Linked DNA regions of Danio rerio. The protein of the gene in region 1 binds, or shares a complex with, the protein of each later gene. Links are inferred from orthologs where the notes say so. Each region holds a gene or a part of one and is shown in the gene's direction. Other genes may lie near its edges.

Evidence for each region.
Region 2: the proteins of mybl2b (region 1) and lin52 are in contact, whole or in part, in a crystal structure (PDB 6C48), measured with the Homo sapiens proteins. The link is inferred for Danio rerio from reciprocal best matches to the Homo sapiens genes MYBL2 and LIN52. Residues at the interface, in NP_002457.1 of Homo sapiens: Trp663, Val666, Ala667, Gly669, Thr671, Asp673, Gln674, Phe676, Lys680, Ala681, Gln683, Leu684; in NP_001019845.2 of Homo sapiens: Gln84, Ala87, Tyr88, Gly91, Leu92, Glu94, Ser95, Met98, Thr99, Lys102, Phe103, Leu107, Glu108, Lys109.

What each region holds. Positions count from the first base shown.
Region 1 is NC_133186.1:1,644,147-1,659,765, forward strand, and holds the end of mybl2b (v-myb avian myeloblastosis viral oncogene homolog-like 2b), read left to right. Parts: intron 1-1,848; coding exon 1,849-1,991; intron 1,992-2,069; coding exon 2,070-2,169; intron 2,170-4,034; coding exon 4,035-4,145; intron 4,146-6,068; coding exon 6,069-6,185; intron 6,186-6,270; coding exon 6,271-6,420; intron 6,421-8,325; coding exon 8,326-8,454; 3' UTR 8,455-10,637; downstream 10,638-15,619. Other genes in the region: uncharacterized protein dtex3lb.1, read left to right, coding at 12,042-12,080, 12,745-12,843, 13,529-13,757, 14,233-14,384, 15,406-15,619. UniProt on the Homo sapiens protein: Transcription factor involved in the regulation of cell survival, proliferation, and differentiation. Transactivates the expression of the CLU gene.
Region 2 is NC_133192.1:33,271,404-33,287,719, reverse strand, and holds the start of lin52 (protein lin-52 homolog), read left to right. Parts: upstream 1-8,479; 5' UTR 8,480-8,491; coding exon 8,492-8,510; intron 8,511-9,098; coding exon 9,099-9,173; intron 9,174-9,332; coding exon 9,333-9,370; intron 9,371-9,446; coding exon 9,447-9,513; intron 9,514-10,440; coding exon 10,441-10,524; intron 10,525-16,316. Other genes in the region: pomt2 (protein O-mannosyl-transferase 2), read left to right, coding at 1,497-1,648, 1,736-1,827, 1,924-2,000, 2,550-2,621, 4,001-4,060, 4,144-4,249, 4,324-4,464, 6,197-6,308 and 1 more.

The sequences.
Region 1 (15,619 bases):
AATCGGATAAAACAAATGCATTTCAATAATAATCATTTCTTAATAAAAAGTGTGCAATATCAGTGAATCAGCTACGCTGATCAATCCACAATATTTAGTGGCTGCATTTTATTTATTTATTGAAATATTGTGAATTTGCGTACATATATTTTAATTAATAATATCAACAACTAAATCATATTGGGTGGTCAAATATTAATGTTGCATCACTGCTTAATATGGCTGTCAGATCATTGAAACTGTAATCTTTTATTTATTTTTTTGACACTATGTAATTTTGAAGAAGGTAATGATTCGCACTCAATTGCTTCGTACTGTTTTTATTTGTACTTTTTCTTATATTTTATGGATGATAACAGACGTTTCGGCACAAAGCCTTCCTCAGTGTGTGACACAATTCTCTAACTCCACCCTTTTATTCCATAGTCAATCACAATGTGCAATTAGTTAAACCGTCACTCTCATTTCATTATCCATTAATCACACAATAACTTATAATCTTCACAGCAATGACAATAAACAATCTTCCCATTTCCGACCTAACTCTACAGAGAGAAAGTGTATAAACTATTATCATTAATCAGGTGTACATCAATACAATAAAATTCTAACAGTTGACATTAAAAGTTTTCTACATTTGACAAATACCCAAAGATTAAAAATCACATCCTGTATAATTGGTTATATGGGTAAAGGTGAAGGTAAGACTTGTGATTTTTAATCTTTGGGTAATTGTCAAATGTAGAAAACTTTTAATGTCAACTGTTAGAATTTTATTGTATTGATGTACACCTGATTATAGAGAATTGTGTCACACACTGAGGAAGGCTTTGTGCCGAAACCTCTGTTTGTCTGTTATCACCCGTAAAATGTAAGAAAAAGTACAAATAAAAACAGTACGAAGCAATTGAGTGCGAATCATTACCTTCTTTTGAATAATAGTAACGATAAGATTAACGCACCAAACCAAAGACGTAACTGAAAAAAAAGCAAGCGCCCAGGACAAACTTCAGTAACTCTGCACTATGTAATTTTGGCCACAAGAGGGCGTGTATTTTAATGACAGCCTGACTGAGCGTGGAATCATGGGAGTTGTGGTCTTTTCTACTTGTTATCTCTTAAAGTTAAAATAGCTTATTTCACAGGATCTGAGTGTTCTTTTAAACATTTGAGATAATGTTAGTACATAAGCAGAGTGGCCACAGATCCCTAAAGTCTTGCATTTCATAGTGTAAAAATAAGGCCTTAATTAGTTTTTATGTCTTAAATGCATGTTTCAAAGATCTTTAAAATATATCTCTATTTGATCACTTTTTTTTTAACAGTCAGGCTTCATTGCATAAATATTATAAGGGGTAAAAGATCTTTAAGTCCTCTAAATGCTCAATGTTCATTTATAGTCATATCACCATCTACTGGCTGCAGCAAGTGTGGCACATATAAATGGCTGCATGGTTCTCCTGTATTTACCTGCTAAAATGCTACCACAATATGCAAATTAAAGCTGCAAGTGACAATAAAATGACTCTTGCGTCTTTAATTTGTACATTTTTTTTTTACCTTATCTTTGTGTTTTGTTTTCTTTTTCTCTTTAACTTCTTGTAAAGAATTGAAAGAATCTAACTTTTAAAGGTGCAATATATGATAGTTCTTGTATTATTATAAATGTATTACAGATATGATTCTCTGATTTGATAGTTAAGCGTTTAATTCATTGACTGTCTTGTAATGTCTGTCATTTTGCATACCTAATTGCTATAGCAAAAACTTTCCTGTCAGACTTTAGGAAACATTTGACTGCTTCTGTTATTATTCAAAACCTTTAATATTATATTTGTGTTCTCAAAGTTCCTCAACATGTGGACGAAGCAGGACACGCTGGACCTGGAGAACCCGTCCCTCACCTCCACTCCCGTGTGCAGTCAGAAAGCCGTGGTCACCACACCGCTGCACCGAGACAAAACCCCGCTCACACAGAAGGAAAACTCCCTGTACGTCTCTGCGTTCACACACACAGCGATTCAGCTCTGATGTGACTGCTGAACTTGTGTATGTTTCCTCCTTTGTAGGTTTATAACACCAAATCACAAGTCTGATCTGGACACGATGCCTCGTACGCCCACTCCGTTTAAAAACGCCATGGAAAAATACGGCCCTTTGCGGCCACTGGTGAGAACATTTACTGAAAACTCTGTTCAGCCTGCATTAATGCATTCAGTATAAGCTGCATGATTAATCAGTAAAGATCTGGATTGCAACACCCACGCAACATACATTATAAATGCTTCGAATCGCTGCATTCAAATCTGTTCGAAAAACGCAACAATCAGGAGATTCAGTCTTTAGTGTTTTGAGATCGTTATGAAGTTACAGACATGCAAATAACACGGCTATACTGAAACAACAGGTTATAGTTTAGATAAAACCACTTATGTTTATGCTAAAGATTAAAATCACCGTCATTTTCATTAAACTTGACGCTTAAATTAATATTGAAGGCAGCAGTTACATTAGCCCCTTTCACACATACAGACCTTTCCGGAAAATTACCGGCAATTTTCCGTAAGGTGTGTATGTGTGAACAGGCCCTTTTTGAAAATACCGGTAAATTCCTTCTGGCTATTTTCCGGAAAGAGAAGTTGTAACATTACCGGTAATTTGCCGGAATGCTGCGCTGTAGGAAGATTGCCGGAAAGATGTCCACGTCTAGAACGTGCTGACATGAGACGTCTACTTTAGCCAATCAGAACAGTCAGACGCATTCACGTCTGCACAGTTTATGAGAATAAAAGCCTTTGAATATTTTTCCAGACACATTTAGCTGCTAGATCTTAGTCGGATAACGTTTATATGTTCATCTTAATGCCAACTGTGTAAATAATCAGCGATAAGATGTTTATGATAATCCATTGTTTGTTTACCTTCAAGCTTTGCGCATGCCCGTGAGCGCCCATAGCGCCAGCACACATGCATATCATGAACATCTCGACATGCGAAAGTGTTCCTCCAGATGTTTTCATTGGAGTTGTACTCAATACTGATCCATCCAAAGAGTTTGTAATGTAGTCAAATGTTTACAAACACAAGCTGTGTGAACGCTCTTTTTCCGGAAAAATTCCGTAAAGTCCTCGCCTGAGTGAACAGCGCTTTTTTGAATTTACCGGTAAAGTCGTTCCGGAAATTTTCTGGATATTTACTGGTATCTCTGTGTGAAAGGAGCTACTGTTTAACCAATAGTTGGCAACAACCAGCCGTCAAAAATGCGCCACTGAATAATTCTTCAGAAATGATCATCTAGCAATGAAACATGACGTTTAATGAGTGAATAACTCAATCATTTATTGAGGATGAGGCTTAAAAATAAATATGGATTGTACAAATTAAATTAGATTTCTACATTTAGGGTTATCAGCAGCAGTAGGAGTAACGGTGAATTTGTCTACTGAATATTTTACAATTTATTTTTATTCAGCTGATTATTTCTTCATGTTATTTTTATTTAAATGACAGGTGTTAAGTTCTGCTTGTTAAAACCAAAAGTGTCTTGCAGTGCTGATTTTACAGTATTATTTACATTTATTATAGTATATTATTTAAATTACATTTTTTGTCTCCCCCCTCTTCTGAAAAATGGTCCGAGCCGTGACTAATATACCATAATGTGATCCGAACATAGAGATTTGTGATCCGTTACACCTCGAATGTTAACTCGAACTCATTGAAATATGCCTGCAGTGCTACAGAATCCTGTGTATTTGTTTCTTTTGCTAGTCCAGATATAGTTGATGTATTATGGCTACAAATGAGACCAACATAGTGATATCTTACATTTCATTCATGATCACCTTAAAAAGTCTTCAGTTTGACCGTATGAAACCTGCAGAAAGTCTTACTATAAACCTCTGTGGTGTTAAAACAAAATAGTTTAGTCCTTTTTGCGTCGTAAAAAGATGCTTAAATCCTGGATGTTTTTCTCCCACCATTGTGTTTCACAAAATATTGTTTCTGTCTTTGCTTTGGGCTATTTTCTTCAGCCTCCAACCCCAAATCTGGAGGAGGATCTTAAAGAAGTGCTGCGCAGTGAAGCAGGAATCGAGCTGATCGTAGAAGATGAAGCTCCCGCTGAGAAGAAACGCAAACAAGTGGTGAGAGATCTGACAGGGAAAGAGAATAGCTCCATTTCCAGTCATAGTGGATCATTAATACGTCTATTACTGATGGAGGTTAAGACCAGAAATTCTGATAACTTCTTTTATTTTTAAAAGTTATTCATTTGTCTTTACCTAATAAAAAGTGCATCTTTTAACTCCAGTCTTGTGAAGAAACAAATTAGGACACTATAAAAGCCTGAGGGTTAAGGTGTCCAAATTTTTCCTTGCATTTTTGTAGAATTACCAGGGTTTCTGCAGAGTCTTAAAATGTCTTAAATCTCAAAATCTAAATTTTAGGCCTTAAAAAGTCTTAAAATTACTCAAATATTGTGTTGTAGGTCCTAAATCTTTTTTAAACGGGTCTTAATTTTCCTTTGTTCATGCATTGTTACCAAATCTGGTCAAAACCCATACAGTAATCAACAATCATCTCAATAAAACTTTAAACTTTTAAACTTATTCTAGTTTTTAAAACATTTGTTCATTTTTATTTTATTTTAAAGGAAGTTTATGTTGTAAAAAGTGTATGGATACGACTAGAGCTTGCTTGTTTTTACACAATGTTTTAAATATTTTGCTAAAAAAATGTATTTTAAAACGTTATTATTAATGTATTATTGTATTATTAAATTTATTAAATTATAATATTTTTGATCTGGCAAATAACAATCTTTTCCATCTGGGCCATGTAGAAAATTATTGAACCTTTAGCCATTTATGGGCTAAAATTTCATTCATAATGGTCCTAAACTGTCTTAAAGTCTTAAATTTAACTCTGTGTAACCTGCTGAAACCCAGAATTACATTAACAGAAGATCTTAAAGTCTGATTAAACAATCTGATTAACTGAAGATCTTTAGTTTTAATTGTTTAGTTATATTACCTTAACCTGTCTGTATTTTTACAATTGAGATTAAATAAATAAAATAAACCTTAAAATACTTTTCCCAAAAAAATTTTAATTAATGCACCCATTTAATATTAAAATCATTTAAAAGTGTTTTTTTTTTTTTAATAAAAAAAAAAAACATATTAGCATATGCAAAATATGAGTTTACATATGTACTGAGAGAATGAGGAAAATGGGTCTAAATGATATGCAATGTGGTGCAGATTCTGGTATTTTACATGCACTAAAGGTTCTCATATTGCTTGTAAATCAACAATATCTTTATAACTTTGTAGCCGACTAATAAAAATGAACAAATGTATCTTCCCAAGCCTCTAAACATCTCTAATCATTTGAGGAAGATGATCAAAGCGCTGAGGAACAGAGAAGGTAAAGGTTCTGGAAAGAAAACAACTTATCATGTGATACTCATGATATTGCTGAACTTTCAAAGTTGTCTAAAGTGTTTCTTAAGTATTATATATTAATAATTCAGTAAGCCTCTGTTGCTTTAGTCTTTATATACTATTATTTTTCGGGGTTTATACCTTTATTCGATAGAACAGTAGAGAGTATTAACAGGAAAGCATAGGGAGCAAAGAAAGGGGAAGGATCTGCATAGGACCACGAGGATGAATTGAACTCGCGTCGCCGTGAGCACCGGAGTGCATGTGTCGACGCACTAACCACTACACCACTGGCGCCGACATCTTGAATTATTTTCATCAAAATCAAACCAATTATTGAGATTACTTTATAAAAATCAGTAAAGATCTGACAGCAAAGAGACATTTAAACCCTGATCTGCATGCATCAGATTGTGTGTCCGGTTTAACCTTTGATTACATTCATATCAAGTGCAGCCTTAAGTGATTAAATGTTGATGTATTCAATGATTATCCTATTTCATTTTGTAGCTGGATTTGCAGTGAAAGCAATCTGAGCTGCTGATATGGAGTAAACCTAATAAATTCTCGTTTTGTTGCTGGTTTGCTGTTATATTGAATGATCTGTGTCTTCTTCAACAGTATCGGCCTCCTATGAAGAAAGTGCGTAAGTCTTTGGCTCTGGATGTCATCGACTGCAGTGAAAGTGTTGCTGCACGAAAGCAGCAGATTAAAGCCACAGTCAAACCCAGTCAGAAGGTACAGAAAACCACACTGGTGTTGCGTTTATCCTGGCCCTCTCTTCAGATGTAAAGTGTTATTGAAAGAGTTTCTGTATTCACAGCCTCAGACGGTGCAGCCGGAGCCTCCGGTGTCCTCATGTGCTGTGAAGGAGGAGAATGTTCTGGATCAAGGCTTTATTCTGGGTCCTAATGAAAGTGGACCTGCCTCTAAACCAGTGCTGGCAACACCCAAAACTATCTCTCCACTGCCTGTAAGTAGCTGTAGATCACACTCTGCTCATGTTACGCATACAGGACATCATTTCAGGCATGTGCTGATCTCAAACATGCACACCGGCTCTGATCAAGGAGGTGTACTTTGTTTGGAAAAGGGTAGTTACACGGCTCCACCTCGTGTACTGGGTTATTTCTGTTTGAAAACGTTGTCCAATGTCAGATATTTCTGAGTATTTTAGATGATATGAGGTACTCCTAAAAGACTAAACATGGCTCATTTAATTGTTTTGTTTTCTGCTGGTTTATAACATCAGAAACTGAAACCAGTTGTTGTTTTTTTTCTAACTGGATTATTTATATTACTTTGGTTGTTGTCAGCAAATACAGAATAAGCTCAACATATTCTAATCAATTAATTAAGAAATTAGGCAATTAATTTAACTTGTAATGCCTACTTTTGTATTTTTTGTAAAACTTTTCCATTTTTATGTGTATTTTTCTGTATATATTATAGAAAAATAGGGTGGAATTTGAAAATGCACATGGGAAATTTGTCATTAAATAAAACCAATGTGTTAATTGAGCTCATGTTAATAAACTTTAATTGGAAAAACATTTTACTAAGTAAAATCTGAAAAATGAATGTGCTTATTAGGTTTTCAGATGCGTTTTCTTCAGTCCAATTGTAAGTAAAAAAAATAATGCATTTAAGTTAAAGGTGCCTTTCTTGGCACTTCAGGTCTTCATACATCATGTCAATAAATATAAATAATAAAAAGCACTGTAGAAAGAGACTTGAAAAGGCAGCTATGAGGAAAATCATTTTTTGTAAGCCTTTTAGACAGAACTGTGTGCAGGTATAGTGTTTCCACAGTCAAACTGGAGTGATGTAAAGACAATAAGTCTTACTCTTTTAACTTCCTAATGTTATAATAGCATCCAAATCCTGCAAGTTTGAAGCCGACTGCAACATGACATAGCACTGCGGTTTCCCCCACCCATGAATTGATTGACAGCTGCATGTGAACATGTCTCCATAGTAACGCGTACAATCATATCCATATAAGAGGATGTGCGCAAAACAACTGGGATTAAAAGATCTGTTCTGCTCTTTTATGACAATTTGCATCTCGAGAATGAGTTTTACAAGTTTAAAATGCTTTTAAAGTCGTGCATATTTGTAATAAAGTAAAGACTGTGTTTCGCTGTAGTTCATCGTCATAGCCGCATGTCTGTACATTTATAAAAGAAGACGTTTCAGTCCCGGTTTGTGGACTTAAATCAGGTTTATTTTGTACATCAACAGTGGATATTAATGTGTATCCTGTCACATTTAATGTGCAAAGCTGTGCGTGCGTGTACGTTTGTGTGTGTGACTCATCATTGCAGAAATAATAAACTCCACAACAAATGCCTCCAATAACCATTAGAAAAGTTCTTACTGTAGTAAGGCAGATCTGCTTCATTTGTGTCTGTCACTGTGCTGTTTATCTACATGAGACGCAGCAGGTGAAGGCTACATCCATCAGAGCAATACAGAGAGATCTCTGGCTCTGACACATGTGGGAACAGTGGGCGGGGAGAACCAGCTCATTTGCATTAAAGGCACGGGCAACAAAAACATCTAAAGTGTCCTAACAGCTCAAATTTCCCAGATTCAGAAAGCTATAATAAATAAACTGATGGGTGTTTTAAGCTAAAACTTTACAGACACATTCTAGAGACACGAAAGACTTTAATTAAATCTTGAAAAGGGGGTAAAGTAGGTGCCTTTGCCAAAAACTGCTAATGTTTTGTTATAAATTAATTAAATGTGCTGTTTTGTCTGCAGCAGAAAATAGTTGAGAATATTTTCATTAACTTAAAGAAAAGCAACTTAAAAAAAAAAATTATAGAACAAAAAAAAGTCTTAATTATCTAATAATTTTCTCTTCTGACAGATGTCTGCGGCGTGGGAAACTGTTGTCTGCGGACGGACGAAAGATCAGCTCTTCATGACGGAGAAAGCCAGACGATACCTTCGCTCTTTAAAATCTCACACCCCAAACCGAGCCCTCATCCTGTCCTGAGCCACGTTTTATTTACAAAACATAATGCGTGTATGGAGGAGGAAAACCAATTGTAAATGTTGTGTAGAATATGAACCCAATTACTGTTCCAGAATAGACACTTTACTGCTGATGATGCTCTCGTCCTGTTTCCTGTGGCGCATCAGCGCATTCAAACACCCTGTATAGAGAAGTGCTGAGATTTTCTCTTATTTATCTACTGTCTACAAGCTCCTGACATGCCAGCAAACATGTATTCTGCTCAAGAGTTCGTAATCAGGTTTCTGTTTTTATAATTGAACTCGGATTGTGTAAGACTCAGCATGGGATGTAAACAGGAAAAGGCTGACTGTTTTCCTGGGCTTTGTAAACCTGGTCATGCTCTTCTGCAAATATTAGAGTTTGTAAAACAGCCTGTTGGGCCTCACATGGGATGTTTTGAGGACTTAAAAGGACAGTTCACCCCAAAGAAATGAAAATGTGGTCATCATCGACTTGTTTCAAACTTGTTTAAGCATCTTTGTTCTGTTAAACACTAAATATTATATATTTTTTAAATGTTGGAAACCTGTAACCATTGACTTCCATTGTATTTGTATTATTCCTTCTCTGAAAGTCAATGGTTACCGGTTTTCAGCATGCATTAAACACATATTAGTGTTTAAGAGAATAAAGACACTCATAAATATGAATCTGGTAAATGATTTGTATTTTTAGAGATGACGTTTCTCTTTAATTGATAATGTACAGAAGCTGTTACTTTAATTTCTTTAAGTAGAAATGCTATAAAAGATGGATAGATGTCTGTTGTCTTAATGGCAACACTGGAAATGAGCACATTACCTTATAGCAGGGCTGTCCAAACTCGGCCTGGAGGGCCGGTGTCCTGCTGAGTATAGCTCCAACTTGCTTTAACACACCTGTTAGGAAGTTTCTTGTACAGGGATGTCAAACTCCATTCCTGGAGCGCTGCAGCCCTGCACAGTTTTGGTTCCAACCCTAATTAAACACACCTAATCAAACTAATTGAGTCCTTCAGAGTTGTTTGAAACCTACAGGTAAGTGTGTTGGAGCACGGTTGGAACTAAACTGAACTGCGCCCCTCCAGGAACTGAGTTTGACATCCCTCTTCTAGTATATCAAGTAAGACGGGTGTCCAAAGTTGGTCCTGTAGGGCCAGTGTCCTGCTGACTTTAGCTTCAACTTGCTTCAACACACCTGCCTGGAAGTTTCTAGTATACCTAGTAAGAGCTTGATGAGCTGCTTCAGGTGTGTTTGACTATGGTTGGAGCTAAACTCTCCAGGACACCAGCCCTCCAGGACTAAGTTTGGACACCCTTGCCTTATAGCCCTGCTGAAAAAATCAGCTTAAACTAACCTAGGCTGGCTTTAGTTGTTCGACCAGCCTGATTTTAGAGGGGTTCCAGCTATTTCCAGCCTGCTTTTAGCGCGTCAGGCTGGGAGATGACCAGCTTAAACCAGCTTGACCAGCCTAGACACGCTGGAAGCCCAGACAAAATCAGCTACGTCCAGCTTAAAGCAGGCTGATCAAGCTGGGTTTAGCTGGTGATTTTACAGCCTGACCAGCTAAGACCAGGGTGAAAATGACCATACCCCCTCTAAAACCAGGCTGGACTAGTTTAAGCTGTTTGTTTCAGCACGTGTAAGTCACAGAGACGTCTACTTGTTGTGTGTGTTTACATCTGGAAGACGTCTCATGTAGACGTTAAGTAGATGTGTAGAGAATGTCTTTAAGATGTTGATGATTCATAATGTTTGTTAAATAGACCTTTTAATGACCTTTACCAGATATTTGTACACATCAGATGATGAACAGACCAAACAATCTTTAAAATATGACTTGCAGTTGAATATGTGCTATCTGGCTCAAACTAATGTCCAAATATCAGGAAAGAAAATAGCTGATGAACTTCGTAAACAGAAATGGGAACAGTTGTATGTAGTTTTCATAATATAACTGTTCAGAGATCAGTCAGGATCAGTGCTCAACATGTTTTCACCATGCTTGCGTACATTTCCATGCTAACAGATTTGCTCCTGTTGTATTATCATTGTTCAGCTTGGGAATACTTCATTAAGATTCATGTTTTGTTCTTTGTGCTTTGTCTGTTTGCTTATTCTGACATTTCTACTGTCCACCAGTGGAGAATCAATGCTGTAAAATAAACCCTGCTTATCATTCACACGTCTCCTCACTAGAGCCAGCTCATGAGTCAGATGTTAAAGGGGTTAGTTCATCCAAAAATTGTAAGACATTTGTGCTGCCCATTATATTACAAACCACAGGAGAGGGACAATTCTCCAGCAGGATAGCACTCCTCATACTTCAGCCTCCACATTAAAGCTCCTGAAAGCAGAGAAGGTCAAGCTGCTCCATTATTGGCCAGACCAGTCACCAGATATGAACATTATTAAGCATGTCTGGGGTAAAATGAAGGAGATGTTGAAGATGAACACAAAGAGTCTTGATGAGCTCTGGGAGTCCTGCAGGAAGGCTTTCTTTGCCATTCCAGATGACTTTATTAATCAGTCATGTCAGAGATGTATGGATGCAGTCCTCCAAGCTCATGATGGAGTCAGACACAATATTCATTCTGTCTCCACTGCAGCAGGACTTTATATTCTATACTGGACATTATTTCTGTTCAGTGATGAGACTTTAGTCTGAGCAAAGTCAGACCTTACTGTCCTAATCAAATCATTAATAATCAAGGCATGATCAGATTTTATTGTGCTCAATTAAGCAAATCTAGAGGCCTTTGCCTTTCATATAAGCCACTTCTGATACCAAATGATCAACTAGAAGTCAAGTTATTATGTGTTGTTCCTAAAACTTAGATAGGCGACAACACCTTTGTCAGGGAGGCTAGTTTTTAAAATCAACTTCACATAGCCTATCATGTTACAGGAGGGGTTTTCATAACATTACCTGGCAACCCAAAGTGTTAAGAACTCGCCCAGGCTAGTTTTTAAGCGTATTGAAGCCTAAAACTGTACGCTTATGATTGTTTACTAAAATTTTAATTCTTAATAGTGTATGATAGATGCCTTTTGATACAATAATTCACATTTATTTATAATCTGTCGATGTGTGCGTGTTAAAATCCACAGTTCCCTCGTGAAAACAGAGATTAGCTTTCATTTTCGCTTCAGTGTCAGTTTCTCAGGTAAAACACTGACAGCTCGCATTTATCGGTGAGTAAAATTAACAAGTAGCCTAGTTTTGTCCTTCTGACAGTAATATTATTTCCCTTTTCAGTAATATTGTGATGTTATGTTTGTGTCGACTGATATTACAGCTCCAACACTTGTTAAAGAGGGCTTCACTTGAACGTCGACAGACATTGACGCCTGCAGTGAGTAAAACACAAGTAAATAATGATAATAAATGTTCAGTGTAATATGAAATGACTTGTCTAAATGTTTTCCCACATCATTATACGACGCTAAAACTAAACCAAACGAGTTGAACGCTACTACTACAACAGCAATGGCTTTAATTTATGGATTTTGTTGTTTGTTTGCTTCATTTCTATGTACTGAAGGCCAAAGTTTTCTCCAGTTGTGTTTGTTGCTCAGTCTCAGACATGGCAGAGGGATTCAGGTCAATGGAGATGGGCGAATATGTGAGTAATTTTCAACACAACACGTTTGTTTTTGTGAATTGTGGGGACATTACATTGTTTTTGTACTGTACGAACTGTATTTCACATCAACTATATCCTACTATATTTGACTATCTTCTTTTAATACCCATGTCATACAGATTTGTGTCCTGATGTCACAAAACAGACCCTTGAATCATGATTCTTCCGATGTCATGTAAATCAAAGATGTATTTGTCAATTGGTTTATTGTATTATTTCATCAGAAAAATAAGATAAAAAAGTTTCCAATTGATTGCATAATGTAGTTTTTACCCACACAGAGAATAGTAGTATAGTATTGGCTATAGTGTTTTTGAAATATTATGTATATTCACAACACACACTGTTAGTGAATGATTAAGCATACTGTGGTAAACTTTAGTTTTTACAATAGTAAACTGGTGTATTGTTGTATACTTACAGAAATCTACTAATTAGTTTATCTTACTATATATATATATATATATATATCATCGTAATTGCATCACATGACTTAAGCAATCCATCTGAAAACACTGTAGTTTCACATGTACAGTATATGCTACATTCAAAGGTATATTATAAGTAAAACTAAATTTTTTTAGAATCTAATTGAAATTGTTTATAAATCTGTTTATTTTATTATTGTTTCCCTAAATTGCAGGACTTATATACAGCAGGTGATGAAGACTCGAGGTCCAGTTTGTCAGACTGGAAGCATCTAAACCTTATTATGGATCGGCCAAGCTTACTGCTAGAGGAGGTATGAGCTGAAGAGTATAAATAAGCCACACATTTAATATCAGTCATACAAACAGAAGCCAAAAAAAAAGTTCATTTTCATTTTAGGTTTATTTACAAGTTTTATAGCGTGCATCTAACTGTTATTCGCAATATATTGCATTTTTCCCTTGAAAGTGAGCAGGGATTCTTTTGGATACGCAATATAAACAGTTATGCATACATTATAATGCAGTAAGAATATTATTGTTGATAATAAATAGGATTATTTATTATGTTAAACAACATAAGGGTCATTAACAGGAGATTATGCAGGCATCTATATGTAGATTTGGCCACTAGAGGGTGTGTGTTCACAACAAACAAAGGCATGGTTTGATGTATTTGCTTACTTGCGAGGGCGGAGACTTAGTGGTTAGCACTGTCGCCTCACAGCAAGAAGGTCACTGATTCGAGTATCGAGTTTGCATGTGCTCCCTGTGTGGGCGTGGGTTTCCTTCGGGTGCTTCGGTTTCCCCCACAGTCCAAACACATGCGCTATAAGGGAATTAATTGAACTATTTTGGCCGTAGTGTATGTGTGTGTGTGAATTAGAGAGTATATGGGTGTTTTCCAGTACTGGGTTGCAGCTGAAATAGTTGGCGGTTCATTCCGCTGTGGCGATAAGGTAATAATGCTTACTTAAATCAACACTTTTCCCACAACAGGATCTTTATACTGCTGGTAATGAAAGACCCAAACCTTCAGCACCACTGGATATCGGTAAATTAATGATCAAAGTGGACTGGACTGAAGCATTTCCAGACAGATGGAGAGCAAGATTACAGATCGCCCTTCAGTCGTGGTTGTCAAAACTAGAAGAAAATGCAACGGTCCACACTATTAAGCTCATGGATGATCCGTCATTTGCAGAAGTGCAGATAACTCCATCAACAGGTGACGGTGATTCACTTCAGTCAATTCAGTCTATGCTGACATTATCTTCAGCAGCTCAAACACTCTAATGGCTGATGGACAGACGGCTGCTTCTCACTCAGGGCTGCTGTTTATGCTAATGAGGGAGAGATGCGCACTAGTGGGCGGGGCTTTCCCCCTCTGATGACATCATACAAAGGGAGAATGTCAATCAAAGTGTTCCTGCAGACTGCTCTGATCAAGTCTGATTATAAACAATAGATTTAATTCATGTTTACCATTAGAAGCTGGATATATTCACACACTGCTCACACACAGCTGTGTTTAAACCTCTTATACAAGTGTTTTTTGCAAAATAGCTCCCCTTTAAACAAACTGCACTTGGTTTCATCTTGTTTAGACATTGGAAATTGTATTTTGTTTCTTGCTTCAGTTGTTTACATGTATTAATGTCATAGGGCTCTCCATTACATAACCTCTCTATACTTCTCTACAGCTCTAGAAGCTTTAAAGAAGCTGAAGTTTATACCTTTGAGGTTTAAAAATGAAAACAGGGAAGTGACTGCGTGGATCTGTCCTGATGGAGCAACTTATGTGAATGTACCACACAAGTCCTTGCTGGAGGGGAACAGAGCTACTTTACTAGAGGTATCATGTTAATTTTGTGAGTAATTATGACAAAGTGCATATTAATTTAGTTAATTAAATTCATTAAATTAAAGTTGGACAGCAGGCGATGCGGTTGCACAGTGGTTGGATATTCGCCTCACAGCAAGAAGGTTGCTGGTTCGAGCCTCGGCTGGGTCCACAAGTCTAAAGACATGCAGGACAGGTGAATTGGGTAGGCTAAATTGTCTGTAGTGTATGAGTGTAAATGAGTGTGTGTGAATGTTTCCCAGTGAGGGGTTGCAGCTGGAAGGGCATCCGCTGTGTAAAACGTGCTGGATAAGTTGGCGGTTCATTCAGCTGTGGCGACTTTGGGTTATAAAGGGACTAAGCCGAAAAGAAAATGAATGAATGATTGAGTTTGACAGCATGGTAGCTCAGTGGTTAGCACTGAGGCCTCACAGCAAGAAGGTCGCTGGTTCAAGTCCCGGCTGGGTCAGTTGGCATTTCTGTGTGGAGTTTGCATGTTCTCCCCGTGTTGGCGTGGGTTTCCTCTCGGTGCTCCGGTTTCCTCCACAGTCCAAACACATGCACGATAGGGGAATTGATCAACTACATTGGCCATAGTGTATGAGTGTATATAGGTGTTTCCCAGTACTGGGTTGCAGCTGGAAGGGCATTCACTGGGTAAAACATATGCTGGCGGTTGGTGGTTCATTCCGCTGTGGCAACCTCTGAAATAGAGAAGGAATTGCCGAGGGAATTGATGAATGAATGAGTTTGACAGCAAAGCCTGTTCATAACCAAAGAAAGCTCCTGAACTACTACACTAGCAATGAAATTAAGGAAAATAAACTAGAACTAGATGAACACAAGAGTAATCGAGAGCCTAAACAAGACTCCGGTGAACAGTATAGGATCAAGCAGAGCCTGATATGCAACTTCAGCCTAATTTGGATGGTAATTGTGTCTCATGGGGACATCTGCAAAAGAAAAGTCGACACATTCTCAGTAACAGTTTTATTTATTCACTTATAAAGTTTGCATGTATTTCCTAATGCAGGACATTTATACAGCTTGTGATGAAAAACCTCCAGCATCACTGGATTTTGGGAGATTTAAAATCAAAGTGGACTGGGCTGAAGCATTTCCAGACAGATGGAGAGCAAGGTTACAGATCGCCCTGCAGATCTGGTTGTCCAAACTGGAAGAAGCACCAGTTATTCACAGCGTTAAACTCATGGAGGATCCGACGTGTGCAGAAGTGCAGATAACTC
Region 2 (16,316 bases), on another chromosome or scaffold:
TCCGGTTTCCCCCACAGTCCAAAGACATGCGGTACAGGTGAATTGGGTAGGCTAAATTGTCCATGATGAATGATTGTGTATGGATGTTTCCTATAGATGGGTTGCTGAACATGTGCAGGATAAGTTGGCAATTCATTCCGCTTTGGCAACCCCGAACTAATATAGAATGCTGATGAATGATGTGAATGTTGAAGTATGTTGAGAAGCTAACCCTAACTTGAATAAATGCTGTACGTCACGTGAAAGAAGAAAATATATTGAATGACTGTCCGCCTACTTTTTCAACATCACTGGTTCTGGTATTTTTCCCTACAGCTTTTCTCTAATCATGAGCACACTGAAAAGAATAAGGAAATCTTTGGAATTATTATAAGCAGTAGTCCAAACCAAAAAGGTATAATGAATAATCACATCAATAAAAATAAAATAAAAGGCTATGTACCTAACTGATTTAATGAGGGGGGAACTACAAACCTTTGATGCATTGTGAATGACTTAGTCATATGTAAAACAATAGAGAAATATCAAAATAGTTATTAAAATCTGTTGGTTGTCTATAGAAACAATTTTATTTGATTTTATTTGACTTTTATATGATTTTAGTTCTATAACTATTATTATTATTTTATGTGTTTTAACTTTATTATTATTATATATGTTTTTTGCATTCATGCATGTATCTTTTACTGCTGCACATTTTTTGTCTGTAAAGTGCCTTGAGATGCTACTTTTAAAGATGCTATATGTAAAAATAAAGTTTATTATTATTGTTATTATTACAATACATTCCAAGCTTATTGTTAAATACACGCACGTTTAATGTAAGTGAAAACGTACAGTTAATTTGCTCATCCTCAGACTTGAGACCACAGATTTAGATAAAAATCTTCATTAATGTTCTACTTAAGACAAAAAATCACTTACATGTTGCATGGTGTATAAATTCACTGAAAAATTGTCATTTTGGGGTGAACTATCCTTTCGATTGTGCTTCACTGGAGTGTGTGGAGCTAAAGATTTCTTTCACATCTGTGTAATGTTCTGTATAGAAACATGAGTAATGTCATGTTCTGCAATAACTCTACTATTAAATGATGGATTTATAAATGAGTAGATTGAAGCAACTAAAAACATAAACACACAAACAACCTCTGAGCTTACAACTGGTCTGTCTTTTAAGGTTTGTCAGTTATAGGTTTAAATTAAATGCAGAAAATAAATGTTTTGTTTATTGAACATTCAATTCATGTTTATTTCTATCGTGCTTTTACAATGTAAATTGTGTCAAAGCAGCTTAACATAGAAGTTCTAGTAAATTAAAACTGCCTCAGTTCAGTTTTCACAGGTGAAGTTCAGTTTAGTTTATTTCAGTGTTTTGTAAACATGACTGCTGCCCTCTGTACTATCACAATTGCATCTTTCATTCATACTTTGATCTTAATCAATTGTTTACAAGGAGCATCACACATTTCCGTAATTCTGAGTTTTGGTTTCAGAATGGAAGTGGTGACGTGAATGACCTGTGGCAGGTGGAGGTGTGTGGAGGAAGGAAGGGAGATCCAGTGAAGGTGCTGCGCAGTAAAGTGCGTTTTCTTCATCGCGCCACAGGCTGTGTGCTCTGCTCCTCTGGAAAGACCCTTCCCAAATGGTGAGATTATTTTGTTCAGCCAAAACCTCACAGCCGGTCTGCAATAAACATATCACAGAAAATACTGTGCATTTTACTACTCAACAGGGGATGGGAGCAAGTGGAGGTCACATGCAGCCCGTATGTCAAAGAGACCCCAAATTCGCAGTGGAACATTGAGGACCACATCAACCCTAAACGTATGCCTGTATAGCTTTTTTTTTAATATTGATTTAATGGGTAGAAAATTACAGTTTTGTTCATTTGCTGGTGTGGTGATTTTTCTGTGTGCACAGTGCCCAACATCAGTCTTGCAGTACTCAAACCCACTTTCCTGGAGATCCTCTGGGAGTCTCATATTGTGATGATCAGGGTAAGACTCTTGAAAGAAAATCTGCCTGTTAAAAATTGCTCTTCATGTGGGAATTGCTTCTAATTAAAGATAATCTCCCTATTAATAAATGTTCTACCACATGGGAATGATTTCTGAATTAAATGACAGTATTTTCCAGAATATAAGTTGATTAAAAGTCTTTAAACTGAAATGCACTGCTTTAATTCCAAAGTGATTTCTATAATGCAGTTAAGATCAAGAATGAGCAAAGCGCCACATATATGGGCTACTTTGTTTTATGCTTGCATTTCTCTTCTTCTGTTGCCTTTACAGTTTAATTTAGAGTAATGTAATGTGTGTTTATATAGCACATTTATTGTGTATGGCCATACACCTAAAGCGCTTTACAATCATGTGAGGGGATCTCTCCTCATCACCACTTTTTGTTGTGGAGTGTGGGAAACTAAAATCCCTATACTAAAACATTTACCCATTTACATTTTTTTTTTTTTTTTTGTGAATAAAAATGATCAAATGCAACTTCTTTTAAATGAACCAATATATTAGATTGATAATGTTTTTGTGTAGGGAAACAGTGGTTTGAAGCCCAAAGACAACGAGATGAACTCTAAACCCTGGCACTGGCCCATTAACTATCAGGTAAGTTGTGTATAAGCATTTTTAAATTATTATTATTGATGTACTAAAATTGATATAATTAATCAATATTGTGATTTTTCTTTTTTTAAAGTGTTATTGTATTTATAAACGAGGGCTGCAGCTATCGATTATATTAATAATCGATTTATCAAACACATTTTTTTATTTACTTTGAACATCTTGTGACTGAAATGGTTTTAAAAAGTCTATAAAAGCCAATCACAAATACACACACACACACACACTTATTGCAATAAACTTTATTCCAGGAAACTTTTTTCAGAAATATTATCATGCATTAACGATAAAAATCTTTTTAAATTTATGTAATCATTTGTTTGTTGTTTTTAATTGTATATTTATTACTGAAATGTTCTTGCCATGAAAATAGCGTTTGTTGCTGAGATGTCGTTAAATAACAAATTCATCTTCATAAACTTAACATGGGAAAGCTTTGTTGCTGCCTGAAGTGGTGTTAGTGAGTCCAGCAGGGGGCGCCCAACCTGCAGTCTGTGTGGCTCCTATACCCCAGTATAGTGACAGGGACTCTATTGACCTTATTCTAAAATGCGAAAGTGCTCCTGTTTTCGCGATTGTCTTAAAACTTCCAATTCAGTCGCCTATGGGAGAAATGACTAGGAATAATAAACGGCAGAAAACGGTCAAACTACTTGCTCTACAAACAAATGCTTGCATGGCTATACAGACCAAGTAGAATAATATAATAAGAAAATATCAAATTGCAACATCAAGCAGCGTAATGAGCAGTTTTTAACGTCAAAAAATGAATGGAGGTGAATGAGACCGGAAGTCTCAAGCCAAAAAGATTCAAATGGCAGCGCCCACTCGTCGGCGGAGAATAAGGTGAATACTGCTCAGTGAGTGCCGTCTTTCGCATGAGACGTTAAACCAAAAATCCCAGGATGTCCTTCGATAAAGAGGTTTAACCCCGGCATCCTGGGGTTAATCCTCAGGATTATATTATATTATTAATTATATTTAGCAAATCAAATAAATGTTAAACAGACAGGAAGTGAAGCGTTACTTTTTTTAACGAAGCGTTGATTACTGCAATTTGTGTCAATAATTTTTTTGATTATAAGTTTCAGCCCTATGATAAACCGTTACAATATTACAACATTTATTAATATTAATAATGATCTTTAATCAGTTTAAGTTTATTGTTAAAAATATTATTGTGCTTTTGTCATTTTAGGTAGATTTTGTTTTATGTTTTAGTCATTTAATACTTTTTAATTTTACCTAGCCACCTAAACAAAAACATATCTCATTTACACACGCACCCACACACACAGACAAAATCTCATATTTATCTCATATCTCTGTACCATTACATCACTATTTATTATTCACAACAGGGATTGAGGTTTTCTGGAGTGAATGAAACTGAATACCGTGTTTATCTCCTTGGAAACCCTGTAAGTGTCTCTGTCCTTTTTTTGTCCTCCATTTTCCAAGACCTCTTATTCCATCATTAGTAAATATCCCATCACATCCTCAGGTCATTTGGTGGCTGAACCTGTTAAGTCTGGCTCTATTTGTAATCCTGCTGACGGTGGCTTCATTAGCAGTGCAGAGAAGAGTGAAGATGGAGGGAATGATGAAAGGTAAGCAGCAATGCAGATGTTTGTGCTGTTTACAGTAAATGATCAGGTCTAAAAGAGTTGATGTTTTGTTTCAGTGCATTGTCACACACTTATGGAGGGTGGCGGGATGCTGTTTTTGGGTTGGCTGTTACACTATCTCCCATTCTACATCATGGGTCGCATACTCTACTACCATCATTACTTTCCTGCCATGATGTTCAGCAGTATGCTAACAGGTACAAAAGCTAACATGATGACTAACACACCACATTATCAACTGGTGGAAATCTGATGAGATTCTTATCACACTGACATCTTACCTGTGCACTGAAAATTCATAATTAAGTAGCTTTACTAAAAAATTACTAGTGGATTTGTAGAGACGTCAGCTTACTTTTCTAAAGACTTATTTTTATGAAACCTTTTTTTTTTACTTCTAGTTTATTATGGAGGTGAAAAGTTGTATTAATTAGTGTGCCAGCCCAGTTAAGTTTTAGACATTATCTTTTTATGTATTGTATAATATTGTCTCTAGTGATTTGTCTCTCAAAAAAGGACTGTTTCTGTCCTTCTTCCTGGACAGACCTACAAAGGCTGTAATAAATTTGCATAATGTTAATCAGTAGTCCTCACTGGCTGCCCACAAATTATGTATGTTTTGACCCTGCTGTAGTTGTAGCTGAGGCTCGGAAGGCTTGGTTTGTGTTGTGGAAGTTTTAAGAAGACACTGTTTTCTGCACTCTGAAAGCAAATACAGTTTACAGTTCCAATAAATTGAATTGGGTTCGTATGTTCACGTTAAAACAGCTATCATAACATTATCAATTTGATAACCCTTTGGATTCTCGGAAGCTATGGAAATTAAAAATGTAAAACAGGAAATACATTAGGACCATTGTTATTGTTTACATCCCTCAAAATGGTCTATATACACAATCACAACAGAGACTGGGCTGACCAATGAAAGCAGAGCCTGCCCTTGTTTAATATATTGTAAGAAACAATATGGACAATACGAATAGGATTAAAAGTGTGCTTTAACTCTCTCTCTCTAAATACTACTACTACTACTACTACTACTACTACTACTACTACTAATAATAATAATAATAATAATAATAATAATAATAATAATAATAATATTAATATGAATAAATTAAAATTATTGTTGTAGTTTTTTCCTGGCATCAACAACAAAGCCACATATGAATCCATTTTTAAACTTAGTTTGCAACTTGAGACTTAATCATTACACAGAATTATACTACAGGTCTTAATAAGATCTTAAAAAGGTTTAATGTGTCTTCTGCAAATTAAGGCCTTAATTTAAAGACATGGATTTTTTTTTTTTTTTTGAGAAATAAAACATACTTGAAAGACTTTATGCTTATATTGTCTTTTTGTAATCATAAATTGACTTCACTAATGAATACCTCAGAAAACAAGACTTCTCATGTGCTCTTTTTGCCTTGATCTTGATGTAAGAATTTGGCATTTTTCATTTAAAAACATTAGAAAAAAACATTAGAAAAAGCATCATATTTAACAAAAGGTACTCTGAAAGATATTCTATAGTTTGTTATTGTAAAGTTTAAAAGCACTGTAAATCAGCCTTTTTAAACACTGAAATTCTGCTTATTAATATAAATTACGTCCATTTTACTTTTCGAATATTGTGTTTGCTCTAATTACCTCCTTTTATGTTCTTTAGTTGCTCTTAAAATTACTTTCAGAATACAGTTAACAGTTTTTATCTGGATTTCTAATAATTTATCTAACAATATATAAAGTGTACTGTGGTCTTGCTGTGTTTTTATTTCAAACTGTGAGTCTGCAGCATTGCTGAACATATTTTTCAGGTTATTACATGTAATGCATATTATTATAACGCGTAATCCAATACATGTAATCATGTTTAATCTAATAACGAATAATCTAAATATAAAGTTTAAACCTTCTTTATTTAAGGTATTACTCTGGACATCCTCCTTCAGAATTTGCAGCTTCTCTTTAGCTCATCTTTATCTCATTACCTGATGAGGGGAGGTCAGTCGGTGCTCCTCTTAGGGTTTATCTACAGGTGAGTATCTACAAGTTTAGTTGTTTAAGAGGCTCATGTCTTTCAGAATATGTAACTAATTACAAAGTAAGTCCTATTTTATACATTATTAATATTGATACTTAACCTGATATTTCCGCTGTCGTCTGTTTTCAGCTTTTATCTTTTCCACCCTCTCTCCTATGGCATGAGAGGGCCGCTGGCACATGACTCTGCCTCCTCCATGGCCGGCCTCAGGTGGATGGAATCCTGGGAGTTTTAGACAAACGTTTTAAGTGTTTTCATAAAATGTTTTCAAAACTATTTCATTTGTTACATGTTGACATTTCCGTGTTGAAGGACAGCATTTAGTCTGATTTTAGGCTGTTGAAAATTTTTAAATAGTATTTTTGTATTGTATAAAATTACGATATTTTACAGTCATGTATTTTACATAAAAATCTGATGTTGTGCAACTGCTGTAGCTGGACTGAAATAAATTTATTAAAAAAACATTGAAGTGCCTTTCTAGTTTTGAAGATGCTGATGTATAAAGCATTAACCTTTTTGTTTGTATTTAAATCATTTCAGTTTGAGAATGTTTAATAGCATTTCTGTTTTAAAACTGTAATGTAATGAGCAGTCTTTCCTGAAAAGTTCAGTTGAGTTCGTGTTTGAATTGTTGATAAAAAAATTGTTTGCAATATTGTCTTTAAATTATTGTCTTAAATGCAAATTGTAAACAGACTGACTCAGGTGCATTTATTTGGATTTAGGTTGTGTTGCATTTGATACCAACACATTTTCTGGCTCAATTGACTGAAAATATATATGTTTTTCATTAATCACCAACATTGTAAGAGCTCTGTATTTATACTTGAATTTTACTTATTTAATTTTACTAATTATTTTATTTTTCCAAGTATAATAAAGTGACCTTCTGTCTTTTAGAGACATGATCTGTACAGAGGTGTTGATAGTTATTTCTTCAACCAGTTTTACAATACCATCCCTTTTTTAATGTCTTTTAAATGGGCCTTTTCGTATAATGCTATGTACAAAGCATTTGAAAATGGGTTGATCAAAGTAATAATGCTACAGTGAATGAATGATGTTTCTTTAGTGTTTTAAAATAAATAAAATGAACACTCTGTTAAAAATATTGATATGATACGTTAAAATGTGCTGAAACTAGACTTGTTTATGTTTACCAATAATTTTTATTTTTGGTCTATTTATAATTACTGCCTTTTTTGTAGCTGTACAGAAGTTTGTTCTGCTGTGTTTTTTGGCCTGACTGAGTCTTGAGTCTTATATTATATTAACACTATCATAATACTACTCAAGTACTCTGTATGAAAGCTAAACATATTAATGTTCGCATATTATTCATATATATTTTTACTTATTTTGCAAGAAAGAACGTTATCAAAGACACAGTTTAAACAAATAGACAGAAATGAATTCATAATTAAAATTCCAGCAAATTAAACAAGTTTAAATGATTTACACCAAGAAAGTGTTTTACATGCAATATAACTGTTAGGGTCTTTTAAAGAGTTCACATATAAAGTAATTTCTTAAAATAAAAAAGTAGGGTGTTTCTTTGAAAATTTACATTTATCGATGTAAATTTTAGGGGGGGGGAAACAATTAATTACAAATTTACAAGAATTCAGAAAGTATCTAAAGAATATAATTTTTTGTGGGAAATACAAAAGTTTGGAAATAATACAATTTTTGTGAAATTGGAAAAGTCAACCCAAATGACTTTACAATAAGTGCACTCCCAAAATAGGCCAAAAAGATTTAGTGTTTCACCATATTGAGTACAAAATGAGCATTTGAAGGAAATATTGTTATTAAATTTACCTAGTTTGTTGTTTATTGGGTAGCAATTATGAATGATTCTGATTGAGACTTCAACAGCTTTATTAGATAAAAATATGTATTTTTTCCGAATACCATCCAAGATCAATATCAAGAAAAGGCCATTAAAGACCATTAAAGAGATCAGAGAACTGTTAACAATAAAGAGAATCACTTTGTTTGACATAGAACTGAGAAGAGTTTGGTCAACAAAAAGGTTTGTGCTGTCAATAATATTTATATTCATATTTTTCAGTCAATTATTGCGACATCATTTTACAACATAAGAGGGTGTGGCTATTTTATCCAAGACCTCCAGTGATTGGCTGCTTAGAATCACGTGTGTTGTTGTCAAGATGGCGTCTCCGAATGGAGGTAAATTTTAATTCCTCTTTTCCCTGGCAGCGTTAGTTGTTAACGCAATAGTGCAACGGACTAATTAAGTCATATAAATCATTATGCGGTTTAGCATATTTTTTATAAAGAACTGATGGATTCTGAATCAAAATAAGCTTTTCAGTCGGAATAGCGTCATAAAATTGTTTGGAGCCAGTCATTAGCAAAGCTACGTGTCAGACGACATCAGTTGTGTAGTAATAATTTAATACGAATGTAATAGTGTAGTAAATACGCGAAGACATATTACTTTTGGTGTGTCGTGATTTTATCTTTAACGTTAGTTATGTAACTCATTATTTTGTGACAAGATTACTCAATGCAGCTAGCTCAGCTTTGAGTAACTTAGCAGCTGAGTAAACATAATATCTCTGTCATAACATCAGCTTAATTTTACACCTTGAATAATATGTGACAGAAGATTTTTTTTTGTAACGTCATCTAAGCTGAGTTATGTTAAAATTGAAATTGTGTATATTTAACATTTTTTATTGTACTTCAGGTTTATTGATCCTGTTGCTGATGAGTTTTCTCTGACCATAGAGCATTTATCTTTTTAATGTGTAGGTGAGGACTTTGAATCTTCTCTGATAAGTTTAGAAAATCTTGACCGGGCTTCACCTGACCTGTGGCCAGAGCAGTGTAAGTTTGACTCTCTAATCTTATTCAGTTGGACTAATATTTATGACACATTAACATATTTTTCCAAATATATGTAAAAAAAAATGCACTGATTGAAATATAGAAATTACATTTGATTATTACACATTGTCATATTTTTGAACGCTTTGTTTTTAACAGTGCCGGGTGTGTCAGAATTTGCAGCATCCTTTAAAAATGTGAGTAAATATTCAAATGATAATGAATACTTTTCAAAGTTGATGTGAAATTAAGGCTTGGTTTTTGTTATTTCAGCCTATTACAAATTCTCCACCCAAATGGATGGCTGAACTGGAGTCAGAGGATATTGAAATGTTGAAAGGTCTGCCTTTTTTAAAGTAGTATTCATATCAAGTCTTTTAATGTATCATTTAGTCTTTTATCTATGCTTTCTATATATTGCTTAGTAGAATAGGTTAATAATAGTTAGATGAGTTGCTTGGTGAATTCCAGGGTGTCCGCGCGGTCTTAAAAAGTCGTAAAATGTCTTAAACCTCAAAATTACATTTTTATGTCTTAAATTTACTGAAATATTGTGTTGTAGTTCCTAAATGTTAAATTAAATTTTTTTTAAATTAGGTCTTAATTTTCCTTTGTTTATGTATCGCTACGCAGTCTGGCCATTAGTCCTATACGATCACCAACAATTCATCTCAATAAAACCTTTTATATAAAAAGGTGATTTTTAACTCTGTTTACCATAACAGTTTTATTATTTTCCTCAAAATACATAATATTTGTTAAAAAGTGTTCCATGTATTTGCTGCTGAGGACACCGACCTGGACAGATTGTTTTGCATAGATTTAGTTATATTAAAACTTTAAAAACATTAATTCATTTTTTATTGTAAAGAAAGTTTATGTTGGAAAAATAAAGTGTATGTATACAAGTAGAGCTTGTTTGTTTTTAAACAATATTTGAATATTTTTATAAAAAATATCTAAAATATTTATTTTTTTATTATTAAATTATAATTGTATTATTAATATATAATCGTTTTTTGATGGGGCAAATGAAAAATCTTTTCCATCTGGGCCATATGAAAAATTCCTTAGCGATTAGTCCTTTATGAGTCTAAAATTTCATTCATAAGGGTCTTGAAAATGTCTTGAAGTCTTAAATTTAACTTTGTGAAACCTGCAGAAACCCTGGAATTTATAAAAGCTACAGTATAATATTTTGTTTCGGTTCTGGTCCATTTTTATTTTATTTTTTGTAACTTGTTTGTTGTGGCTTTTTTTTTTTTAGAATTAGGAAGTTTGACCACAGCAAATTTGATGGAAAAGGTGAAGGGTCTGCAGAATCTGGCTTACCAGTTGGGCTTGGAGGAGTGTAAGTAATGTCTTACTCAACTCAGAAATAGTGCATTAGTTCACACTGTTTATCTAGTTACGGTATATTGTAAGTCATCCACTAGATGGCGATATTAGAAAAAGAATAAAACTTACTGACAAACACAAACCCAGCTTTTAATACATAAAGACATTTTTCATGTTTTTTGCCGCTGTGATATTTAGGATAGAGTTAAAAAGACAATACAACAAATAATTCATTATATGTAGTCTGGAGCCTAAATCCATCTGAATCCTTGTGTGGAAAAAACACTTATTTGTTATGTTCTATTCGTTTATTTCAGTCTGTAAGTCTCAAATGAATTCCCACTCTATATTTAAACAGAACTGGCTTGTTGCCCAGTGTCTCTGTAATATTATATCACAGAATTGCTAGATGTAGCATTAATCCACGCAGGCAGGATTACAGGAAAGATAAGTGTTTCAGTTATTTTCTAGATGAAAATGGGCATCGAAACATCGCACAATTTGAAAGCGAGTACTGCAGACCATTGGTGAACACTCGTTTCAGATGTATTACATTCCTTCTGCTGATTTGACCTTTGTGTGGCATGTCCCTCAGAAAGCCCTCAACAAACTATGCTTCAATGAGAAAAATCAGTCAAATGCTTTTCTGTCTACTTGATTTTTACTCTACTATTTTGAATAATTTCCATAATGTTACAGAGAGAGGATAAAAAAAGCATCAGTTAATTTAAATAATTCAAAGATATGCATTTATATTGATTTAAAATTAAGCACATGAACCATTTTATTTGATAAAACTCTTACATGCACAACTGTTTCAATAACGTTAGTAGTTTTTAGATTTAGATTCATTCAGATTAACATTTTAATCTCCTCAAGCACTTGTAATATTACTATATTTGTGAATATGAAATTCACAAACTTAATAAAATGTATGATGAAACCGGTATCAATTGAATAATGGTTCTTATCATGGTAAACTGAGATCACATTATTATATTACTTCTCTTATAATTTCTTAGTTGTAAATATTACCTTTTTATTACTCAGCAGATATTTAAGGGACAGTATACGTTACATTTAATTTTTTTAGTTTCATATATGAGTAGCTTGAGTTTCTATATCCATCATGTCATATCTACAGCATTGTATCTGGGTTTAATAAGCCACATTTGGATGAAGCTTCCATGCTGCCTTTTATGCATACATTAATACAGTGTGTAATTATACATTTAGTCTGCTTGCATTTAATATCATTGCAAACCCACTTCAATCAAACTAGGTGTAATAAGTCAATCTAGATGTCTCCACCTCTAGTCATTGTGTCCTCTGCTTGTTGCTTGTTTAAATGCTCTCTAGGAAGGTAACACAATGCAAAATATTTGTTCATCTTAACATGAGTAAGAAAATGAATTTCACACAATGTTAAGCAATTCACAGTGCGTACATATTATACAGTGGGGAAAATAAGTATTGAATCTGTCACCAGAAAGCATATTTCTAAAGGTGTCAATGATGTTGGTAACAACCAAATAAATCCATACATGCAAATAAAACAAATCTAATTAGTTTACAAATTGAGTTATGTGTAATAAATTGAAATGACACTGGAAACAATATTGAACACATGAAGAAAGGAAGCCATAGAAAGGTAATGAAAGCCCAGACTGCAACTGAAATCTTTCATAAGTCATTCAGCAACCCTCTACCCTTTGTCAGTCTAAATTAATACTCGCTGCTTCAGTCCAACATCTACATTAGCAGGGTGATGAAGATAAAACCAGGGTGGACATTTTAGCAAGACAATGATTCAAAACACAGCCAAGGAAACTCTCAAATGCTTTAAAAGAAAATCAAACTGTAGAAGGGCCCAGCCAGTCACCTGACTTGAATCCAATAAAAATACAAAATAAAGCTCAGATTTGATAGAAGAAACCCACAGAATCATCAAGGTTTTTACAGGCTGTTGAAGTCTATGAAACCTAAGCAATTCATGTGACTTCATTCTCCACATGAGAGTTGTCTTTAAGCTGCCATCACCAAAAAAGCCTTTTATATAAAGTATTAAATATGTTTCAGTAGTTCAGTACTTTCTCCTTATGTTATTTCATTGTTATTACATAATTACAACTATTTTCTCAGATTTCTTTTGTTTTGTTTTATTTTTATGTTTGCATTGTTTGTTTTTTTTTTTAAATATTTCAATTCCATGTCAACAGCTCTTTTGGAAGTATGTATTCAATACTTATTTTTCCCACTGTTTAATCGCTACATCTGTTCTTTAGTGTATTTATAACATTTGTTTCTTGTATCACTGGTTACTTTAGTCTCTGCTCAAACCTGGTGCTGTAATGGGAAACGTATACCAGTAAAGTGATGAGAGGTCGCTTCGTGAGTTCACCGCTGACGTGTAAAATGAAAGAGTGCAGGATTAAAGTAGAGTTGTTCATCCACGATCATGCCAAACATAATTTATCACCGCTCTATGCTATTAATAGAGGATATTTAGCCGGATGAACTCCACACGTTTTGTATAAAACCAAATGTTCATGTTCTATAACTTGATATGACAATAATGTAAAGAACAGCTTGTCCTTTAGTGAAGGAAAAAAACTGACTGTCAGTAAAATGTGATGGAATTTACTTTAATTGGTAACATTCAGAAAGAGAAAAATTTTCTATATATTTTATATATGTTGCACTCATTGAAATGTTCATTTTCCATAAATTAATAAGCAGTACTTTTTTCATAGTTCATAATTATATAAACTTAAACAAAATTAGCATATTCAAAAGGATGGCATGACACTCGAGAACAGGACTGGGACTGCTTTGTCATTACAAAAATTAATAATATTTTAATTTATATGAAGAAAATGTAATTTATATGAAAACCATTTTTGACCATCCTTTCAGCCAATTAGCAGTAAGAAGCGTGTTTAACAACGATAGCAGAGATATCAAGAGGCAAGGTCTTGTTAGGTCAGCATCTTTTGTCAAATGTCTCTTAGTGCACCTTTTATATACAAAGCTATTATTTTAAATAATAAAAAAAAAATATATTTTTTTGCTAATTTTAATAATTGGTGAACAATCTTGTCAATGTTAAAATAATATTGTACATCACAGTGTTTATTTGTGCACTCTTATATGCTTCTTTTATTTTTTAAGTTGGACCATACTTTGCTTTGTTCATGGTGTCTGTTCAACATGCCATTGTTTCAACAATCTTATAGAGAGTCAAAATTATGTCTATCAAAAGCTGCATTACCTTTTGGCCAGAGATCTATCTGACCCTGAGGAGAACTACCCTGTCAGGTTTACTCTAGCATGATCCAAACACATTCAATTGACTTCAGGTCAATTTGTAGTCAAGTCATGTGTGACGATGGGATTCTTCTTTCGACACAGTTGTTTAAGAAAAAAAACAGCCATTCATTAATGAACAGTCAATTTTGGGTTAACTAAATTATAATGTCATATCAAAAACATATCAGATAAAATTTTAACAACAAAGATACATTTATAGACTAATTAAAAAAATGTAATGTGTGTATTTATATAGCATTATTTATATATTTATATATATTTATATATTTATATTAGGAGGGTCTCTTCACACCTACACCAAAATTAAAAGTTTCTTTGGATATACCGGATTTATTAGGTTTTGATTTTAGCAAAATGTCAATATTCATTTTGGTATAAAATAAATCTGGTATAAATGTATTTTTTATTTATTGCCATGTCAGCAACCAAGGCTATTTTCATAGCAAGAACATTTCAATAATGAATATACAATTTTAAAAACAACAAACAAATGAATACATAAATTAAATAAGTTTTTAGTGTTAATATGTGGTAACAATTCTTCATTTTTTCCTGGTTAAAAATGTCCTTAAAAGAGTTCATTTCATTTTAAAAAGTCTACTGGAATCATTAATACCAAGACAGTCCAGTAAAATGTGTTTTACAGTAAGGGGAGTTGTGCAGTACAAACGAGTGAGGTCTTCATCTTTAACCTCCTAGGGCTTAGTGGCCACTTACTTGGACAGCACATTTTAGATCTTAAGTGGCCATTTAAAATATTTTGAATGTTTTATATTTTGTTACAGACATACAGAGTCATCCTGCAACTGTTTTACAGCATATGAAATCTCCCAAACACCACTTTTCACTGTCCAAAGAGGGCAAAAAATGTTGTTTTTAACTCTCTGAAAGTCAAAACATGTTCAAAAAAGATATATATGTTATATATGCATTAAAAAACAGTCAGGAAGAAGTGTTTTATGTAAATTCGCACCACGAGTCCACGTATATGTACATCTTTTTTCTCTTAAAATACATTATTTTAAAAGATGATACTTAGGTTTTATTCTAATTAGGTTCCAATAAGCCCAATTAGCAAAGAGAAATAAAAAAAATGCATGTAAAAAAACACCTTGGGCCTTAAGAGGTTAAGTAAAAAGGCATGGATTAAACTTGTACATTGAAATAGGACATCTGGTAAAAAACACTTTATCAAATAGTCTTAAAATGTCTTAAAATTCTGTTTGAGATTTCATACAATTTATAATTTTCTAATACGACCCACTCCTCTTGCCATATTTAAAATGTAAACGTTGATAAAAGGTCTCATCTCTAAAGTAGCAATATTAAGGTCTAGTATGGTTTCTGAAAAAATTTTAAATAATAATTTTAATAATTTAGATTTTCAGTGTTCTGCAGTCAGTTTTTGAAAATATTGATTTCTAAACATCAGAGTTAAAACATATTTTGGGCCCTATCATACACCCGGCGCAGTGTGGCGCAAGACGCGGCGCAAAAGTCTTTTGGTAGTTTCAGTTTGGCGCAAGAGTGGTTTTGAGACGTTGCACTACGCTGTTTAAATAGCAAATACATTAGCGCTCATTTGTGCGCCAATAGGCGTTCTGGTCTAAAAAGGAAGGCGTTCTGAGGCGGACCGCTGGCGCGTTGCTATTTTGAGAAACTATAATAGATTTTTCATTAGACCAAAACTAACCCGGTCTAAACTCCGGGTTATTCATATAAATAGTGCATTAAGAGAAACAAGCTATATGCTCTTATGACTTTTTATTTTACGGTATACCTAAGAAAAGACTTTAAATACACAATATGGTCACTGAGAAAATGACTCTAATAATCTACAAATAGAGAAAGCGTAAGAGTCAACTTGGTTCACGTGTCACTTTAATAACCAATCACATTACAGACATAATGTCCATTGACTTTCTGTCAGTTTGTGAAGACCATAGAAAATGCCAAGACGTTTGTGCTGTAGGATGTGTGGTGGATCCTAACTGGCAATATTGTCCCAGACTGTAACTGCATTTTCATTCAGTTGTCCAGTTGATGGAGTTAATCATCTGAAGTCTTTGATTTATGTCTGAACTTCATTAAAATGTTGCCGCAGCTGAAGATAGTCCAGCACAGACTAAAACATTTACTGTTTGTTTATGTGTGCACAGTCACCTTTTGTGAGTATTATTTATACATCTTAAGGATTGTTCAATTGGTCTTGCATTAGTTCGGTGTGTAAATTAATTGAATCTATGCACCCTAGTATAAATATTTACTTTATTGGTGCATAATTTGTTCATATTTTTAGACTTGTGACTTATTATACAGACTTTTTTTCTGGTGTAAAATTTAAAATTAAGGTAATCCAAAACTATAGTTAAAGGGCAAGTGTTTCAAAAGTTAGCCAGTATGCTGTTGATTCCTAAAACAATAACTTTCCTTCTCCTCACAAAAACAGCATTGTTTCTTTTTCAGCATATTTAT